Callithrix jacchus: one gene and its partner. The main gene of each other region encodes a partner of the protein of the gene in region 2 in a complex. Links are inferred from orthologs where the notes say so. Each region holds a gene or a part of one and is shown on either strand. Other genes may lie near its edges. The genes, in order: WDR82 and TOX4.

Region 1 (3,528 bases), on a different chromosome or scaffold from region 2:
GGTGTCTTGAGAGCCCCACTATACCCAAATCGTGAGTCTGGTCACTCCTCTAGCAGAGCCTGGTGCAGTGACAGCTAACAAAGCTGAGTTCCAATTGAGTCTGTTGCACCAACAGTCCTTTTGAAGACGATCAGCAAAGTAATTATTTCCTTTTGAGCAGATGTACAGCACATTGATGGGAAGGCCATGTGAAAGGATGTTCTCCAGCCCAGTCAAATGATCCAATCCCACTACTATCTCAGTCCCCTCTGAGTTTCTTCCTGCTGGCCGCCCTCACTGTACAGAAATAGCCGAGCAGCCTCAGGGTCAGTCATCAATGGTGGGCAACCAGAAGGCCTAGAAGAAGAACATAAATCAACTTTAAAAAAAAGCCAGGCATCTCCTCACTACCAAGGGTTCTTCACATCCCACCCCACAGCAAAAATGTGCCCAATCCCAATGGCTCTGGTGGCCCTCCCTCCTGACCAACAACTCTGATAATGTCTCATCACCGAATGCCCAGGCAGGTTTAGGAGATCACAGGGAAAACTGGAGCTGAGACTCACTGATCCTTTGTTCTGTTAGTTATTATCTAGGAAGATACAAGGGCCTGCAGTTAATTCTAAGTGTGAGTTATGACCAACTATAGAAAGTTCTGGGAATTTGGCGTAAACCAAGAGGAATGGAAAACTCAAAGCACAAAAGGCTGATTCAGAGTATTTTAAGGAGCAAAAAAGTTGCCAAGTGTAGCCCAGGTAGTCTGGACCTAAAATTAGGGTCCAGAGCAAAAATTGGCCTATGATCTCCTTGGAGCTCAAAGGTGATTCCAGATCACCTCTAGGAAGAAGAAAAATGAAAGACAAGACCAGCCCAGCCAGAGATCAAATAATAGGAGGTCAAACAGGGAAACCACCAGTTGAGAAACATGAACTTGGATGGCTGTAACGTACCGACGTAGAACACAGCTTGCTGTGCTCGTTGAGGCACCCACTACCCCAACTGGAAAGAGTCCCTGGATGGCAGACGCCTCTTACTGTTCACATACCATGTTGGAACACGCGCTGGCAAAAGTCATGAACTTGGGGTTGAATTGCAAACAGGTAATTGGGCCTGTGTGTTTACCATCCAACACAGCTACTTTTATACCACTCTCTCCATTCCAGACATGGATCTTGCCATCCTCTGAACCTAAAGAGAATATTGAAGGAAAATGTAACAGTTCAAGGCACAATACAAAGACAACTGGAAATGAGACATGGATTGAGGTCTGAGGACAGGCCAAACTTTAGGACCCATTCCTGAGGCAAAACTGAGAGGGAGGAGAGGCAGTGAAGGGAGGACACTTTGAAAATTGATCTTGACTCTGGCTATTTGTTCACAGGCATGTCACTTCCCCTTTAACTTCAGTTTTCTCATCTAAAAAAGGAGCTGAATACCATTACTCTACCAACAGGCACCCACTAAGATGACTGAATGTAGGGTTGCACCAGGACATTAGTATTACTAATAAGGTAGTGCTAACAGAGTTTAACTCAAATGTTGGTCCAGAGAAGACCAACATCAATGTCTTTTAACTGCCCTGACTTTGGAGTTCTGTACAGAGAACATCTGCCAGTTCTCTGTACAGAACTCCAAAGTCAGGGCAGTTAAAAGACATTATGTCCTTGGCATAATGTGCTATACAGAAATCTGAGAACATCTATCAGAAAATAATAATGTCTCAATTAGTTAATAATTTAAACAAAGAAATGCATATAGTACCAGAGAAATAACCCCCACAGGGGATAAAGGAAACTCACCAATCATAATAAACTGAGAGTCTGGAGTAAATGAAGCCTCCAGTGTGACAGCTTTGCTGTTGGCATAACCCTTAAACAAAACAGAGCAGTTCTTTTGTTGTTACAGGGCCATCAATAAAAACAGCTGCCTACAAATACTGACTCAGCACATGCATCACATTCCTTTCTGTGAAACCCTTTCCTTGTCATGTACTAAGCACCAAGCTTCCAAATGTGGTTGTCATCCTTTACAATCCACTCCCACCCTCAACTCTGTATTCAGGTGTACTCAAGGGGGCAAGAAAACTTTACTGTTAGGAAATTATTTTATATCTAAATACCAAACTTGGGTCCCCTGGTGAGAAATGAACGTCTACAGAATCCAAGGGAAGTAAGTTCATGATCAGGAAGAAAATGCAAGTGCATGCCTCCAACAGTAAGTCAAGAGTAACTACTGGTCTCTACCAACCAGCTAACATAATTCGTAGCACAGGAATATGAGCAAGAAAACAGCCATGCTCGAAGGCTGTCAGCTCACCCCAAACGTGTGCATCACCACTCCTTTGAATGCATCAATGAGACGAATGAAGCTGCCATTGGTAGAAATGAGGATGAGCTTGCCATCATTGCTGAATTTAAGTCCTGTCCACTCACAAGTTCGATCATACTGCATCTTAAAGGTGGCAAATGGCCCCTGCAAAAGATAAAAAATAGTAGCCCCAGGCCCAAGGCATATTAATTATTTCTTCTGCCCAAGCCAACTCCCATCCTATTCCTTTAGATTCCTGTTTGACTAAGGAAAGCAGAGAATGAGCTACTTCTCTGACACTCTCTAACATCTACCATATTTTTTCTTTCATAGAAAAGGCTCTTACAGGGCCAGGTGCGGTGGCTTATGCCTGTAATCCCAGCACTTTGGGAGGCTGAGGTGGGTGGATCACATGAGCTGAGGAGTTAGAGACCAGCCTGACCAACATGGTGAAACCTCATCTCTGCTAAATATAAAAATTAGCCAGGCGTGGTGGCACATGCCTGTAATCCCAGCTACTTGGGAGGCTGGGGCAGGAGAATCACTTGAACCCGGGAGATGGAGGTTGCAGTGAGCTGAGATCACACCACTGCACTCCAGCCTGGGCAACAAGAGCAAAACTCTGCCTAAAAAAGAAAAGGCTCTTACATGTCTACCTCACCCTTAAAACTTCCATAATATTAAGATAGCTCAAAGATTCAAAGATTTACCTTATCAAAAGAACGAAGGTCATAAAGTTTGACCATTTCAGAGTTGACACCTGCAGCGAAAATTAACCCTTCTGGATCAAAAGAACAAACTGGTTTCCCCTGCAGATGCATGAGGCCCTAAGAGAAAAGAAGTAAGAAACACACTAAAACACAGATACCACAACCATACCTAGAACAAATCGAAGACTGCTAATTTAATGGGGGGAAAAAAAGGAATCCAGAACCTTACCACTATATAATTTACTTTTCCCAATGAAAACTAAGAAAGGCATACGAACACATATCAGCCTACCTACAGAATAGAAAAAGCAAACATAGAGCTAAAATGAAACTTTTATAAAACAAGTCTCCAGACAACAATTTCTGAACACCCCTATCTACACAACATTACAGACACAGAGTTCAAATAAAAATAAATCCCTTGAAGCCAAAAGTTCTAGGAACACTTTTGAAAACATTAAGCCAGCTGGGCATGGTACTGGCTCACGCCTGTAACCACAGCACATTGCATGTGTTTGTCGGGGCGGGAGGG
Region 2 (3,511 bases):
TGCAACCTCTTCCTCTGGGTTCAAGTGATTCTCCTGCCTCAGCCACCTGAGTAGCTGGGATTATAGGTGTGCACTACTGTGCCCAGCTAATGTTTTGTATTTTTAGTAGAGACGGGGTTTCACCATGTTGGCCAGGCTGGTCTTGAACTCCTGACTTCAAGTGATAGGCCCACCTCAGCATCCCAGAGTGCTGGGATTATAGGCATGAGCCACCATGCCCAGCTCAGATCCAGTCTATTTTAACACCAGAATCGATGTCAATTCTGAACTACTCATTCTACCATATACTATTGTAATGTTAAGCTCTTTATAGAAGAATTGGTATATTTGATATGATAGGCAGTCTTCATTTGGTATGCATCTTTTAACAATATTAACTAATTCCAGGATTTCTGGTTTGCCCCTCCTTTTCCCATTTCAGGATCACCCTTGGAAACCAACTGGATGGGATCCACCTACTAGACCCAGATGTGGTTGCACGGTTCAAGCAAAGGTACCCAGATGGTATCATCTCTAAACCTAAGAATTTATAGAAGCACTTCCTTATACAGCTAAGAATCCATAGTGATGGCTGTGTAAACCAAACCTCAAGAGTGGTATTTGTACAATAGCTTTCTTCTTTATTTAAATAAACATTTGTATTGTAGATGAGATTTTGAAGTCCATTCTGGCTCTGCCACTCATCAGTGTGTACTCTTGTGCAACTCATCTCTCAGTAGTATTTCTTATATTTAAAATGGGAGTATTACCTCACTGGGTTGCTGTGAGTGTTCAAACAAAACAAGTGCATGGGAAACATTAAAATGATCATAGGCTAGGCGCAGTGGCTCACACGTGTAATCCCAGCACTTTGGGAAGCTGAAGTGGAGGGTCCCTGGAGCCCAGGAGTTCTAAGACCAGCCTGGGCAACATAGTGAGACCCCATCTCTACTCCCAGCCTCTAAAACCATTAAAAACACAGGAATGCACAGGATCAAACTAATTAGTAATAAATATATACATGGTTCGTTGAGGAGGAGGTTCTCTAGGACAGCATTTCTCAAAAGTAAAAATTTGAGTTCCATTTAAGGTTATCACTTACTCTCTCACAAGTAGGTGGCTTCTCTAGTCTGTTTTTCTTTAGATTGTTTCCAATAAATAATGGTAGATCTATGGTTTCTTAAAGATATTTCTTAAGGATGTAGAGTTCTACCTCTTAGATTCATAAACTGTGATAACTCAGGTAAGGATGGTAACTACAGAAATAACATTTGTAAAGAGTAGTAAGAACCTCCTGGGTGATATCATTTTCCATGTAGCCCAATATGCCTGTATTAAAGTTTTGTTCTCAAAGCAGTGTACTGATGTGATAATGGGGAATAACAATTTTTTTTAAGAGGAAACCTTTACTGTAATTTCTTACCCCTTTTAAAATGGATGAACACAGTGGCGTTTTCTCCTAGGCTCAAAGCTGAGTACTCTCCCATCATTTTAATAATATTTTAGGCAAGTCCTATGACAATTATACCAACAAGTTTCTTCAACCCCACCACCACCCCTTACCATCTCTATGTTTTGCTTGCCCATACTCCCTTCACCCATTCCTCTGCTATTACCACTAGTATTTTTGCTTCTAGTTGAAAGCAAAAAGCATCTCCAGATTACAGCAAATTCAGTGGCCCTGCTCCATAGCGTGGCCTCTGCTGAAGGGAGAAAAGTGGAGAAACATGAACAGCCATCATGGGTTGCGATCAGGCACTACTAGAAGCCCAGCTTGTGTTTCAAAAACAGGCTCTTGGACATGTTCCCAGCAGGTAACTCTTCACTGGCTTGGAGAACAGGAAGGACTATTTCACAAACACCACTGTGTTTGAATTCCTAGAGGCTACCCAGGCCAAGAATACATCCCTAAGAGAGAAAAAGACATACACAAACAGAATTATACACAAACAGAATTATAGCCTAGATATATTCTTTTTATCTGTCTTAAACAATTAGGTTCCCAAATAATTTTCTGCAGCATCATAGTGACATAGTGTCACATCAGAAATATAAGAATTGTCAGTAGAGGGAATGCTGATTTACTGTAGAGTTTTTGAAATAGGAAATAGAAATGCCTTGTCCTATAGCTATAGGTAATTCCCAGGAGAATCTGGGGAGAGGGGTAAAATCTTATGAACTTCTCCAATTTCCCTCACAAATAGCAAATTACTGTGTGCTACTATTCCACTTACCATTTCCCCAAATTCTAATTCCCTAAATAGTCTGATTTGCACTAAGGATTCAAAAGCTAGTATTTGTATACACTAACAGATTAATGTATTATCATATTTTGTTTTGTAAAACGGGGTCACCATGTTGGTCAGGCTGGTCTTGAACTCCCAACCTCAGGTGATCCACTTGCCTTGGCCTCCAAAGTGCTTGGATTACAGACGTGAGCCACCACAGCTGGCCTATTATAATGTTTTTTTTTTTTTGAGACGGAGTTTCGCTGTTGTTACCCAGACTGGAGTGCAATGGCACGATCTCAGCTCACAGCAACCTCCGCCTTCTGGGTTCCAGCAATTCTCCTGCCTCAGCCTTCCGAGTAGCTGGGACTACAGGCACGCACCACCATGCCCAGCTAATTTTTGTATTTTTAGCAGAGACAGGGTTTCACCTCGTTGACCAGGATGGTCTCGATCTCTTTACCTCGTGATCCACCCGCCTCGGCCTCCCATAGTGCTGGGATTATAGGCGTGAGCCACCGTGCCCGGCCTATCCTGTTTTTAAAGGGCATACATAGGTATGTGGTAACTGAAAAATGTGAACTGCTGATCATGTCACCTTTGCCTATGTGGCAAATGTAAGGTCTTAAGCAGGGGAGCTTTTCTAGTAGACCAGATAAACAGCAACCTACTCTATTTTATGCTCAAGATTACCATGTTTCCCAATAAAATTAATTTAGCAGTTCTGAATTACAAGAAGGGGAAGGGTAAGCTCACCTGCAGTGCTTCACCACACACTCATTGCTGCAGTATTCATTGTCCCAGTCCTTACTCACAATTGGAGGGTTCTCACAACCAGACCTCACACATCGAGGCTGTGGTGAGAGTGCCACAGGAGACCCACTCACCAATTCAACATCCATCTGAGAAGGAGACTCAACCTACGAGAGGAAGAGAGCATCAAGGTGGATTAGATTGCTCCCTGCCTAGCTAGCTAGTTAAATTATCTGTAGAAACCAATGAAACAACAGGTATTACAAGTCCTCACAGTGGGGGTAAAACTGCAGAAGGTGAGTTTTTGGTCTCCCCCTCAATAGTCCCACTTCAGAACTTTGCCAAGCTGAATGACATGAAGATTCTTCCCATCAGGAGAAAGCTGGGCATATGCTAATGCTTTTTTCTCCCCTTAAGCCTGGCTAATCAAGTGAAGTAGCGGGAGTGGAAAGGTAGTGGTCTTTTAATTTTAATCTAACCTGTCAATGGCTTTATGCCACACATTAATATTCCTGACAGTATCAAATCAAAATTAGAGTGTGAGTAGAGGC

The links.
Region 1: TOX4 (region 2) and WDR82 share a complex: the UniProt entries of both Homo sapiens proteins name them as parts of the PNUTS-PP1 phosphatase complex. The link is inferred for Callithrix jacchus from reciprocal best matches to the Homo sapiens genes TOX4 and WDR82.

The regions. Positions count from the first base shown.
Region 1 is NC_133516.1:34,784,475-34,788,002, forward strand, and holds part of WDR82 (WD repeat-containing protein 82), read right to left. Parts: intron 3,114-3,528; coding exon 2,997-3,113; intron 2,452-2,996; coding exon 2,296-2,451; intron 1,849-2,295; coding exon 1,779-1,848; intron 1,168-1,778; coding exon 1,025-1,167; intron 337-1,024; coding exon 307-336; 3' UTR 1-306. UniProt on the Homo sapiens protein: Regulatory component of the SET1/COMPASS complex implicated in the tethering of this complex to transcriptional start sites of active genes.
Region 2 is NC_133509.1:55,997,109-56,000,619, reverse strand, and holds the end of TOX4 (TOX high mobility group box family member 4), read right to left. Parts: intron 3,128-3,511; coding exon 2,964-3,127; intron 1,888-2,963; coding exon 1,827-1,887; 3' UTR 600-1,826; downstream 1-599. Other genes in the region: N(6)-adenosine-methyltransferase catalytic subunit METTL3, read left to right, coding at 422-533. UniProt on the Homo sapiens protein: Transcription factor that modulates cell fate reprogramming from the somatic state to the pluripotent and neuronal fate. In liver, controls the expression of hormone-regulated gluconeogenic genes such as G6PC1 and PCK1.